2 linked regions of the Saccharomyces cerevisiae S288C genome follow. The gene in region 2 interacts genetically with the main gene of each other region. Each region holds a gene or a part of one and is shown on either strand. Other genes may lie near its edges.

Region 1 (7,361 bases), on a different chromosome or scaffold from region 2:
GAAGACGATGTTGTAGCAGGCGAAGAAGCCAACTTCTATGGTTCCCATGAATTATCTCCTAAGGTCCTGAGAAAAGTTGACCTCTTCATCCTGCCCTTTTTATGCTGTACATATCTTCTGATGTTTTTGGATAAGGCTCTGCTGAACTACGCTGCATCTATGGGTATCAAAGATCATTTGAAAGGTAACGAATTTTCTAATTTGGGTACTATCTTTTCTGCTGCTTACATTTTCATGGAACCTGTGGTCACTTACTTAATTCAAAAATTCCCCATTTCCAAAATCCTAGGTACTTTTATTACCGTCTGGGGTATCGTGTTGGCTTGCCATGCTGCTTGTAAGACGTACGCCTCGTTGATGGTCGTTCGTACTCTCCTAGGTCTCTTTGAATCCTCGAGTGCAGTTGGTTGTATCGCTATTAGTGGTATGTACTATACTAAATCTGAACAGAGTGCAAGAATTGGATTCTGGGCCACACAGGCTGGTACAGGTTATATTGTGGGCGGGTTAATTTCTTTTGGCTTTTTACATTATCATGGTACCGCTTTCACCTCTTGGCAAATAATGTTTTTGGTCGTTGGTCTGGTTACAGTTGCGTTTGGTGTTCTAACATTCTTATACCTTCCAGATAACGTCACCAATGCTTGGTTCCTAAACAAAGAGGAAAAAATTCAAGTTGTTGAGCATATCAGAGCTAACCAAACTGGCCTGGAAACAAAGAAGTTTAAGAAGCAGCAAGTTAAAGAACTATTCCTTCATGATAAGTTTACTTGGCCGATGCTTTTATTAACTGCATGTTCTCAAATTTCTACTGGTGCCATTGGTACATTTTCAGTGACCATCACTGGTACTTTTGGTTTCGACAAGTACGAAACAGCATTACTGCAGTTGCCTATTGGTGCCATTACGGCTATGATTATTCTTATAACAACTCAAATGTTGTCCCGCTGGGGTCATATCACACTCATAACCACATCTATGTATATTCCAGCTATTATAGGTTGTATCGTTCTTATCAGTTTACCCTTATCCCATAAGATCGGTAACTTATTTTCTCTGTACTTGCTTTACAGTGGTTCCTGTGTCATTACCAATATTTACATCTGGAATTCATGCAACACCTCCGGTTACACCAAAAGAGTTTTTAGAAATGCTATTACAATGATTGTATACAATGTCTCCTGTATTATTGCTCCACAGATGTTTAGGGCATACTCTGCTCCACGTTACATACCAGCAAAGATTGCCTTATTGGTCACTCAGTGTGTTTGTGTTCCCCTACAATTATACATTGGCTACATTTGCAAGAAGGAGAACGAAAAGCGTGATAAGGAACAAGAAGGTCAAGAAAGGAAGAAGTACCAATTTTTGGACTTGACTGATATCGAAAACAGAAATTTCAGGTACATTTACTAATAATCAACTTTTAATTTACAATATATAATATTTTTAGTCTGTAATATTCAATATTCAAAGACACCCAAACATTCATTGCACTTGGTATTTACCAAAAAATTGAAGAGAAAATTTTTGAGATGACCATGGATGAGGCAATGAAAGTCGAAATTTGATCCCCGCTACTAACTTCTAAACATATCGTCAGGACAATTGAGCTGAAAATGTCTAATCCAGATGATTTAGATGATGGACTCGCCTATGATTTTGATGCCGAACATGAAGTAATTTTTGACGCCAAGGATGGTAGTCCCCCAACCAAAAAGGTACAAAAGAGGTCTATAGAACAAGATGACGATGACGTTGATGATATAGATGGGAAAAAAGAGGAGAGAAATTCAGAAGATGATTCGAATAGACCTATTTCGAAAAGACAGAAAAAGCTACAGAAAAAATCAAAGCTAATTGAGAAAAAGAAAGAGGAAAGCCAGTATATCGTCTCACAACGAAAAGCACTTCCAGCAAGTTCACCAGAAAAAATTATTGAGTACCTAACAACTTTGATACGAGAAAAAAATCCTGACTTGAGTGTTTTAGAATTAGAGGAACTTTACTTCAAAAGAAATGATTTTCTTTCGACAGAAAAATTTGACGCTGAACGCAGATTAAGCAATTTCCCAGCCTTTATTCAAAAATTTTCCGTAGCTCCAAAAAAAATTGTTTTTTCTATGTCTAATATTAGAGTAGCAGACGTTTATCGTAGTCTAAACGGTGGCAAAAATTGCGTCAAATTATTCTCTAAAAGTAAACTAAAGGATGACATAGCCACCGTGGAACGTTTACTTACTGACAGCTCTAAAAAATCAAACAAAAATAAAGATTCACTATATTTTATTGCCACTCCAACAAGAATGCAGAAAATTATAGAAGCTACTGACTTACTTTTCCAAGGTAAGGAAAAGTTAGATATCATTCTTGATGCAAGTTATTTAGATCCTAAGGATAATACTATATTATCATTCGAGAATGCAGCCGTCCTCTGCCAAGTCTTGAAAACCTTTTTGAATAAAAAAAGCTCCGTGAAAATACTGTTATATTAATAATAGCGCTTTTTCACTGAGGTTCTACACATAAGATTACGTTTTTAAATACCAGCCTTAATTTAGTATATTAAATATTTCATTCTAGCATTTGATGGGGTACTTCAAATTATCTTCTTTAAATTGTCCAAAGCCCTTCCAAAAAGTAAAATCAAAGGAGAAACTTCGAGAACGCCTAGGCGCGCAGCAAACTCCATATATAACAATGTATTTTTTCTTTAACTACATAAAACCAATTTATCCTATTTTACTCTTTCCATGGAGTGTATGCTTTTTTGTAGTTACTTAGATTCAGAAATTCAATGTCTTCCCTCATTTTCTTCACCGTAGAGTAGACCATGGGACGTCGTTTTACTTTAGTTTTTGAATTTTTTCAGCGATGCCCGAAAACTGAAAATTTTATCTCATCTCATTCACCTGCCTGCCATATATAGTATTTTCATGGTATAAACTTGGCATTTTATGTCTTCAATCATAAGAGTATAATTCCGGGATAAAAGCTGGAGATATCATAGTAATAATGGCTAAGAGAAATAGATCTCAATTTCGCATTCAGGAAAGGACTGCAAAGAAAAGAAAGCACGAAGATTCCTTGTTAGAAGGCAATGTTTTCCAAAATGCACCGGAAGATATGGATGAAAATACCATATATAGCGCAAAAGGCTCATCCTGGGATGAAGAAGAACAGGATTACGAAATGGTTCCTCGGAAGAATCGGTCTGATACATCAAATCTTGTTGAAGGCCTGCCTATAAAAGTTAACGGTAAAGTTGAAAGAAAATTGCATAAAGCCCAAGAAAAACCAAAGGACGATGATGAGGAAGACGAAGACTCTAATGACTCTTCAGAAGATGATGAGGGACCTAATGAAGAACAAGAAGCAGAGGCAAAGGAGGATGAGCCTGATACGGAGGAAAAAATTCTGCAACTAAAAGAAGACATTGCCGATTTAGTCACTAAAGTTATGGAGGAGCCTGAAGAAAATACTGCTGCGTTGGGGCGTCTATGTAAAATGGTGGAATCTAAAAATCCTAATACTTGTAAGTTTTCCATGTTGGCTTTGGTCCCCGTGTTTAAGAGTATCATACCAGGCTATAGAATTCGACCACTAACTGAAACTGAAAAGAAGGAAAAAGTTTCTAAAGAAGTCTCCAAGCTTAGAAACTTTGAGCAAGCCTTAGTTTATAACTACAAAAATTACGTCGGAAGATTACAGAGTCTTTCAAAAACTCCCAGTAATGCTGCTCCTATACAGGTTTCATTAGGGATTTTGGCCACTCAAGCCGCAAAAGAATTGATTTCAACGGCATCCCATTTCAACTTTAGAACAGACATTTTCACTTTACTGTTGCGTAGAATTTGTAAACCAAGAATTTCAACAGATCCAACTTCCATTCAAATAATCCAGACATTTGAAACTCTATTAAATGAGGACGAAGAGGGCTCAATATCATTCGAGATACTAAGAATTTTCAACAAAATACTAAAGACGAGGAACTTCAACATCGAAGAATCTGTTTTAAATATGTTATTATCGTTAGATGTCTTACATGACTATGACCCTAATACTAAATTGAAAGGTAACGTTAGCGCTCCTAAGCTCAAAAAGAAAGATAGGGTCCATCTTTCTAAGAAGCAAAGAAAAGCTCGAAAAGAGATGCAACAAATTGAGGAAGAAATGCGTAACGCTGAGCAAGCTGTTTCTGCGGAGGAAAGAGAAAGAAACCAATCCGAAATTCTAAAAATCGTTTTCACTATATATTTGAATATCTTGAAAAACAATGCAAAAACACTCATTGGATCGGTTTTGGAAGGTCTAACGAAGTTTGGTAATATGGCCAACTTTGATCTATTAGGGGACTTCCTCGAAGTAATGAAAGAACTTATTAGTGACACTGAATTCGATAACCTTTCCTCTGCTGAGGTCCGTAAGGCTTTGCTTTGTATCGTTAGTGCATTCTCACTTATTTCAAATACACAATATATGAAAGTTAATGTGGATTTGTCCAAATTCGTCGATGGGCTTTACGCGCTATTACCTTATATCTGTCTTGATGCAGACATCGAATTATCTTATAGATCGCTAAGGTTGGCTGACCCACTCAATAACGAAATAATAAAACCATCAGTTAACGTTTCTACCAAAGCAGAACTTCTGCTAAAGGCTCTGGACCATGTATTTTTCCGCTCTAAATCAGGGACTAAAGAAAGGGCTACGGCGTTTACCAAAAGATTGTACATGTGCATCAGCCATACCCCAGAAAAAACAAGTATTGCCATTCTTAAATTTATTGATAAATTAATGAATAGATATCCAGAAATTTCAGGCCTTTACTCTTCCGAGGATAGAATAGGCAACGGTCATTTCATAATGGAAGCCGATAATCCTTCAAGGAGTAACCCAGAGGCAGCAACCTTATGGGATAATGCTCTTCTTGAAAAGCATTATTGTCCTGTAGTTACAAAGGGGCTACGCTCTCTATCATCTAGATCTAAAGAGTGTTCTAAATAGCTAGATCCTATATATTAAGTATATAAAGAGCCACGATTATCGTTAGCCAATCATTTTTGCCGTGTCGAGTAGAATTGTATAAATATTAGCATTGTATGAAATTTGAATGAATTACCGCAAAAGTATTATACGTAAGCAATAGAAACAAATATCAGATTCAAGTTCACCAAATCAATATTAACAGCTTACTATATTGTCTTTTTTTATGGAAGAACATTACCGTGAAAACCCGGTAGGAGAATTTTGTTCGGTCGGACTTCCCCATTAGGCGTATATTAAGGGCCTAGAAAATAAGACAAAACGGCTTCTTATCTAAGCTGCTGTGAGTGACAGCATGTATTAACTGAATCAAACGGAGCCCTTTGATGAACATGGCAATCCAAACAATTAAATACATTTTTTGGCTACTGCCGATATTAGGGCTTACACAAGCACTTCTACAAAACCCAGGGGACGATTTTCCATTTAGCACAGTAATAGATATCCTCTCAGAAAATGTTGAATTCTCAACTTTTTTAAGGATTATTCAGAAAACTGGTCACGTACAGTACTTAAATGAGCTACAGAACTTTACACTTTTTGCTCCGATTAATTCAGCATTTATTAAGGGGGACCAAACCACAGACCAATTTGAGGAGCATTTCCATATTGAAGATTTCCTTATTCATGATAGGGTATTGCAAGTGAGAGACCTTGAAAACGGTACCTACCTGGAGAAAAGAGCTGCAAAAGCACCTTTATTGCTGAGAAAGCATGAGCGCCATTGCTTTGTCAATGAAATTGCTGTTGTCGAACCCGATTTGCTGCCTAGTTTCCAGAATGCTTCATTACAAGGTATTAACAATCTTTTACTAATTCAACCTCAAATAAATGAGTTGCTGGTACAACTAGATGAAGAAACCCAAGATTTAAAGATATTTAGTGATTTTATCAGCAGTTTTTCAAACTATAATGCATATACAAACTCATCCACAGTTTTAGTGCCCTTAGATGTTAATTTTCGAAAATTCTTCAATACAATCGAAATAAACTATCTACTTGACAAATATAATAAATTGGGTAAATCTAATACAATTTCTCAGGCCAAATGGGCCGCAGATAGAACTTCCCTTCTTCAAGAACTCATTATTGATGACGTGTATGGTGGTATTTTACCCAAGGAACTAATTTTAGAAAATAAAAACAATCGAAAACTTTTTATGAAGAGTAATTCAGAAGGTACATCAGTAAGTGTAAATAATTCAGATTACTCACCCATATCAAACAGAATTTTTGAAATAGGCGTCGTGCATGGATTTTCTGACTTAGACTTTTTACGAACGCATATACAGTTTGATGCTGAAAAGTACTTGCACGGTTTGAACTGCTCAGAATTCGTAAAGGAGTTATACTTCAGAGACCTTGAAAAATTCATTCAAAACGGAAGGAAAATCACCATATTTGTACCACAAGCCTCTTTTAATGAGGATCGTGGGTACACAAAACCATCACTTCTGTACCATTTTGTAGAAGGTAAAATTGACCTTGAACAGGACTTTTCCTCATTGCGCCCGATTCAATACGCACCTACCCAAATTTATGACTCCGCCTTTTGCTCTTCAGCTAAAAGACTAGGTGGACACTGCCAAAAGTTCAAAATCACAAGGTCTAATAAAGGTTATTACATCAATGGTCGCTTCAAGATTTTAAACACAAAACCTTATGAGATTGGTAATACGTCCATTTATTCTATTGACGATGATCTTCAATTACCGGGCGACTTAGTGTTGTCATTAGCACCAGAAAACCACTGTTCTATTTCCCTAATGCTCTTGAAGGAACTTAACCTTTTGGATCTACCATCAAATCATAAGGGGTACACGATACTTCTTCCATGTATGAATTCATGGGACAATAATGATTTGACTATAGACTATTTGAGGTCAAACAAAACCGCCCTAAATTTACTTATGAGGAACCTAATCTTCGAAGACCTTATTTATTCCAACAATTATAGTATTTCGACTACTGTCAAGAATTTATACGGAAATTCTGTATCTATTGGCGTACAAAAAATTGTGGGAAGCCAAAACCTTACGAAAATCTCAGTGAGTACTATAAAGGAAAGTATTATTATTGAGGAGAGTTCCGATATATTTTTCAACCAGGGAGTTATCCATCCTATAGACCAATTGGATTTTCCAGTCGATTTGGAGATATCCCTAAAAGAGCTGATAGAAACTACTGGAACAAAAGAAATATTTGACTTTTTTAACTTGTTTTATGACCTTTCTTCAATCATTTGGAATAACGAAGAGTACTCGCTTTTAGTTCCAACGGCTTCTTCTATTCCATTAAGTGGCATCACGGCGAAC
Region 2 (6,871 bases):
AATTCCTCTGTACAAGTCGCAGACGTGGCCATCATAGATTCCCCTTCCAACATAAACCAATGTGAAATTTCAAGCGTTGGAGAGTTCCTGCAATTCAATAATGGCCAACTATCTATCACATGTAACGATTTTGGTTTACTGGAGAAGTTCAAAAGGTTGTGTATGATTTCTATTTTTGAGTTCATTTCTATATATAAGGCCTTGACAGGCACAGTGATTTCCTCTTATGGGCTGAGAATGTCTGATATGCATATCATTTTGAACTCGCCGTTCAATTTTAAGGATTGGTGTGAAGTTTATCTTGATGGTCAAGGTTGGGTGAAAGTGTGGTGTCATATTGATAAAGTGTCTAAAACCAATAATTCTAAAAGTAGTAGTGACAATGATGCTAAAGGAAAGTATCAAATACGGTTTTATAGAGATGACAAATCCACATCTAGCAAGAACTGCGTTTTTTTTATTCCTGACAATGAGTACGTTCAAGATATTTTCTTTTATAACATCAATGCGGCAGAACCTTCTAAAAATATGAACGACTTTTTTCAAGGGTTGCAAATGATAAAGCTCGTTGGTAATGTACGCTTTTGCAGTGATACGGACTTTAATGATGTGGTGGATAGTGGATCCATCTATAGTAGTGCAAACAACGGCAGTGGTGACAGCAGCTCGACAGCATTGAATAATGAAAGTCCTAACACTACACCAAAAAGTAGAACTTTCTTTTCACCTAAAGGGCACAGAAGAAATAGCTCCCATGTAAGTTCGTTAACTTCTAGATCAACAAAAAAGCCTATAACTAACTTCACTACACGTACAAATGGGCTTTTGATTAGGCCATTGCCCCATCATGGCGTACATCACCTGGAAGCAATGATCAGGTTCATTATTCCTTTGATGGATTGTGCAAGACTTTATGGGCGTCCAGTTCAATTCAAGACAGAAAGAACCGATATAAATTCGTTAATGTTTGGATTACCTAAATTGCCCTCAGTGGATTATTTTGCTGAAGAGGAGATTGCCCATTTGATGACCCAGGAATTTAATCCTTTGAAAGAAAAAGATACTGACGATACTATGGCTTTAACTATGTCAAGATTTTCTAGCTACCTGCAAGAAAGAATGACAAAAGTCTCCAAGAGAAACACAGAACTCAACTTCAGGACCTTTAGTGATGTAATGGGCATGTATAATACTACGAGGGATCACTCTAAACTTAATTGCATGAGTGACAAGGATAATTCTGTGAAGGAATTTTCATTGAGTGATAAAAGCAATGTTAGTTCTGAAACGACTAATATGATGAATCAATTGCAAGTAAACGCCCATGAATACAAAAGTTCTATGTGCGAACGTCCTATCGTCGCAAGTACTTCGCCCATTGCATAGTTCTTCGCATATATAGCCACATCTCAAAAACTTACATACAGTGTATATATTTGTGGTACAGTTTCTGTATAGCCAAATATACCCTGATATAATCTTATGTGATATTATATACTTCCATCCTAATACTAAACTTTTTCGTTTAACGTGACGCATGGTGCGAAGAAAAAAAAATAGCAAATCGCCACTCAATAAAGTGAGTAGAGAGCATTATATCAAAAAAGCATCGATAATATCGAGTGATCATACGTTGAAAATCATCAAGTACAATAGTGATATAAGCCACAATGCAAGCTCCAGTGGTATTTATGAATGCTTCTCAAGAGAGAACTACCGGTCGTCAGGCCCAAATCTCCAATATCACTGCTGCAAAGGCAGTTGCCGATGTCATTCGAACTTGCTTAGGTCCAAAAGCTATGTTAAAGATGTTATTGGATCCTATGGGCGGTCTTGTGTTGACTAACGATGGCCACGCTATTTTAAGGGAAATTGATGTTGCACATCCAGCAGCTAAATCAATGTTGGAGTTATCCCGTACTCAAGACGAAGAGGTTGGTGACGGGACTACAACAGTTATTATTCTAGCTGGTGAGATTTTAGCTCAGTGTGCACCTTATTTGATTGAAAAAAATATTCACCCTGTTATTATTATCCAAGCCTTGAAGAAAGCACTGACTGATGCACTAGAAGTTATCAAACAAGTAAGTAAACCTGTCGATGTGGAAAATGATGCCGCTATGAAAAAATTGATTCAAGCCTCTATCGGTACTAAATATGTCATACATTGGTCAGAGAAAATGTGTGAATTAGCTCTAGACGCTGTTAAGACTGTCCGTAAAGACCTGGGACAAACTGTGGAAGGTGAACCTAATTTTGAAATCGATATCAAAAGATATGTCCGTGTGGAGAAGATTCCTGGGGGGGATGTTCTAGATTCTCGCGTCTTAAAGGGTGTCTTATTGAACAAGGATGTTGTTCATCCAAAGATGTCCCGTCACATAGAGAATCCACGTGTTGTTCTTTTGGATTGTCCACTAGAATATAAGAAGGGTGAATCTCAAACCAACATAGAAATTGAAAAGGAGGAAGATTGGAATAGGATTTTACAAATCGAGGAAGAACAAGTTCAGCTAATGTGTGAACAAATTTTAGCCGTTAGGCCAACACTAGTCATCACTGAAAAAGGTGTTTCAGATCTAGCACAGCATTATTTACTAAAGGGTGGATGTAGTGTTTTAAGAAGAGTGAAGAAATCAGACAATAATAGAATTGCTCGTGTAACTGGTGCAACCATTGTCAATCGTGTAGAGGACTTGAAGGAAAGTGATGTCGGTACAAACTGTGGATTATTCAAAGTAGAAATGATTGGGGACGAATATTTCTCATTTTTGGATAACTGCAAGGAACCAAAAGCTTGTACCATAATGTTACGTGGTGGTTCCAAAGATATATTAAACGAAATAGATCGTAACCTACAAGATGCTATGGCTGTTGCTCGTAATGTGATGTTGAGTCCTTCCTTGTCCCCAGGTGGTGGTGCCACCGAGATGGCAGTTTCTGTCAAATTAGCAGAAAAGGCAAAGCAATTAGAAGGGATCCAGCAATGGCCATACCAAGCTGTAGCTGATGCTATGGAGTGTATTCCACGTACTTTGATACAAAATGCAGGTGGTGATCCTATTAGACTCCTATCCCAACTAAGAGCCAAACACGCACAGGGAAATTTTACAACAGGTATTGATGGTGACAAGGGGAAAATTGTAGATATGGTTAGTTACGGTATTTGGGAACCTGAAGTCATCAAGCAGCAAAGTGTCAAAACCGCTATTGAAAGTGCATGTTTACTATTAAGGGTTGATGATATTGTTAGTGGTGTAAGAAAACAAGAATAATAGCCTCGAGGTTAAACTTCATTACTGCCGTTTAATATTTGGTGTTTCTTCACATTTTTTTGTTTTTTTATACTATTGTAATGTATTTATATAGAATTAAAGTCCTCACTATAATTTTGTCATCCCTACAGTATGTCATAAGCGTTAATCGGACAAACGTTCATTTTAAAATTGGCCTTTTTATATTTATATTACTCCTCATAGGATTTAATATAGAAGTATCATTCGTTAAATAATCATTATATCATCTGTGCTTTAAATAAAAAAGTCGGCCGTCGATGTGTTTACGATTGGCCAGTATACTTACTCATTCATGGGATTAGTTTTATTTCAACGCTGTGGTGGGTACGATATGAAAGACGAACTCGACTTGTCATCATCTGAAATGATCTCAGAATTTTTGCTTTGAGAAAAAGAATTTGATTCTCTCATTTCTAAAATTGGGGTTAACTGCCGCGGCTTGACAGCTGAGATGATATCAGACGTCTCAGTGCTTCGTCCCTTTGGCGTCATAGGGCAGTTTATGTACTCTTCGCCAGAAAACATTCTTCCCTGGTTTGAGGGGGTCAACGACTTGGAGACTAAGGCTTTTCTACTTATTTTTGGTCTTTTCGATTGTGCTTCAGCTTCTTTTTGATTTGCGCTTTCTTCTTGCCCTAAATTTGCTTCTCTTGGATGTTTCCTATTTGTCCTAACCCTTTTATAAACGTTTCTAGAAATTGCCAAGACTTCTTCTAGCGAAAATTCTAGTCTACCACCTTTAGATTCCTCATCTTCACAATAAATCAGTTTAAAATTACAGTCAATTTTTTCTGGTTTCTGGTCCTTTGTATTAATCATTTGATAAACAGGGTCACTTCTACCTATAGAATCTCTAAAGATCGGTAGTTTTTCATCATATGGTCTCTTTTTTTGCGATAACATCTCATGTTGTTTAAGCTCACCCAAATTGGTATTTGCTTCTAGCAATGATATTCGAAGGTTGTTTTCTTTGTTCCTTTCTGCCTTTAAGTCAAAATTTTCCCAGCCATCTCTATAAACACCTCTATTCGGAGTTTCGAATAGTTCTACATCAGACTCTTCTCCATCTACAAATACGTTGTTTTTTGTTAAATTGACGTCACTTGATGTGCCATTTTGATTTGCAAGCTCTAGTCTATTGACAAATTCAGATCTGGTTTTCCCAAGTACTGTAGACTCTAATGAGTCCATCGATATTTCATTTCCTAGCTGAATATTGTTCTCCCCCAGTTCTCTCAGGAGATGGTTTAACCGGTCTTCTAAAACCTTATTAGGCCTAGCCTTATTTTTGATTCCTAGCTGTAGAATTTTCACGGCATATTGAAATTTTTCTTTCTGAATTAATAGATTCGTAAATTCTTCATAAAATGACGCTAACTCGGAACCAATTCCATTTCTTAACATATACATGAAAATGTCTCTGCTTTCCATGAATGAATTTCTGGTAAAAAGTTCTATGTACCAAAACCATATTTTAAGAAACCTAACATCATTGCGATATCTCTCCAAATCCTTTAAGTGAGATAAACATCGCTCCAAAAGGGTGAGCATTCCAGATTGTTTGGAATTACCGCCTTGTGGATAGGCGTTGTTCAGCCACTTTATGTATTCAAGATACAAAGTAATTGGGTCGCTTAATGCAGGGAGCTCATCTATCAGTCTTTGTTCGAAGCTTGATTTAACTTGGTTTATTTCCACCAGTGGTTGATGTATCGCTTTCGAGAGTGCCGCTGCTGATCTGCCTTCCTTCAGGGGAAGAATGTTTTCTTTTTGAGTTTCGATTTCTTCAAAGTTAATAACATTTTGTGATGGTGACGATGGCATGTAAGAGATACGTTTCTTTGCGTACGCTTTCATTCTATCAAGTTAACGTCTTTTATTGTATTTTCGCATGATTTTGTTTACTATTTTTGAACCAGTGTGCGCCTGGTGAAGGTGTGCATTTCAGGCAAGAGGGTAGTTCTCATATATAAAAAAATGGCGCTAAAGAAATTATTATATCTAATATGATTATTACTTAATTATACAGTAAAAAAAACACGCTGTGTATTCATTTAGCAACTAGGTTGCAGAAAAAGGAAAATAAAATAGAGAGAATTAGAAACACAGAAACCATGCCGGGCCCGATCTTATCCTCATAATCTACTGCTCTCTTTAGTCTAATGTTTACCACTCTCTTGGCATAAACCATAACAGTACGTATCAACACAGCCAAGGAAGTAATAAAGAACCCAATGGAGCCAATCATGGCTGTTGGTGAACCATATGTTAATAAAGTAGTGGAGACACCGCCCAACAATATCGAGATGGACAACCAAGACAGGTAGGTTCTTTCAGTGGCAAAGTAAACTTTTGGTTCCACACGAACTGGCACACATATCGTCTTTCCCGGTGGGGCACGAATTTGAGTATCAAAAGTAGTACCTTTTGGGATTTTAGATATTTGATCACCGTTAAAATAGTGGTCAAAAAATGCCACGATTTCATAGTATTTCTTGGAGATAGGATTTTCGGCATTCCTGATCTTTCTTTGATAATAAGCAGCATTAGCACTCTCAACAACATGATTAGTGTTGGAGGTGGGGGCCGAAGTAGCCCCGTAACCAACAGATTCTTCTATATCAAGAGAATTACCGGGTGCGTTTGTCATGGCAGCAACCAAAGCAGCGTCATCCTCATCATCCTCATCGAAGTCGTTATCTTCGTTATCGGATCTACCGGGTCTTGTTATTTCAATATTTGTTGGTAGTGGAGGTTTCCTGATATCAACATCCATTTGAGGTAACCAAAATGGGATTGAATCCACTTTATCATTTAGTAAGGTAGCCACACCATGAATAAACTTGGAGAATTTTGGGACTGGCTCAACTAAGTGAGACCCGACTAATTCACGTACCCACTCTGGAGGTTCTTGACCTAGTTGAGTTTGCAATTTAACTTCCAGGACTGCATATGGGAAACGGCAAATATCCTTGTCATCTAGCTGCTTGAATGGCCAATCGACACCAATATCAGTTCTCCTCCAATTCTTATGAGTTCTATCCACACCATCAAAGTTGTCTTCTCTCACCATAGTTAACTCTGTATCAAGGGAGATACGAACTCTTGCATCACCAGGTAATTGAAAAGCAGTTCTATTGTAGAATGATCTCACTACAGGTCTCAACTTTTTCTTTAACATGACGTATTGAATTTCGGATGCTAACGCCTCCAAGTTTTCAATTTCGTTCATTGGCTTCTTGCCTTCTTTACGCATCTTGGCAAATACTTGATCAACAGTATATTTACCCTTTAAGAAGTCATTAACATGACGTTCCTTTAGCGCAAATCTTGCCTTGACAGATTTCTCACCAGTCCAATCCTCTCTATGGGTCTTTCTTTCTACAAAGATCGTGTCTGTAGACATACCCCCATACCATCTCAATCTGTGGGCTTCTGCACCTTCATCTTTTCTTAATCTGCCATAATAAAGGTCTAGATTTTCATTATCAAAATAGATCGAAGTAATAGCGGAATCTTCTCTTTCGAATTCCTTATTAGTGTTGAAGACTAACACTGGTAAATGCTTCAAGATG

What was found.
Region 1: of CCT3 (region 2) and NOC3, extra expression of one rescues a mutant of the other (dosage rescue), as found in Saccharomyces cerevisiae (one study listed by BioGRID).

What each region holds. Positions count from the first base shown.
Region 1 is NC_001144.5:151,989-159,349, reverse strand, and holds NOC3 (Noc3p), read left to right. Parts: upstream 1-3,015; coding exon 3,016-5,007; downstream 5,008-7,361. Other genes in the region: THI73 (Thi73p), read left to right, coding at 1-1,416; CMS1 (Cms1p), read left to right, coding at 1,620-2,495; YLR001C (uncharacterized protein), read left to right, coding at 5,373-7,361. UniProt on the Saccharomyces cerevisiae protein: Required for synthesis of 60S ribosomal subunits and the transport of pre-ribosomes from the nucleoplasm to the cytoplasm. Also required for initiation of DNA replication.
Region 2 is NC_001142.9:405,888-412,758, forward strand, and holds CCT3 (chaperonin-containing T-complex subunit CCT3), read left to right. Parts: upstream 1-1,670; coding exon 1,671-3,275; downstream 3,276-6,871. Other genes in the region: TPH3 (Tph3p), read left to right, coding at 1-1,386; MAD3 (Mad3p), read right to left, coding at 3,606-5,153; VTC4 (Vtc4p), read right to left, coding at 5,347-6,871. UniProt on the Saccharomyces cerevisiae protein: Molecular chaperone; assists the folding of proteins upon ATP hydrolysis. Known to play a role, in vitro, in the folding of actin and tubulin. In yeast may play a role in mitotic spindle formation.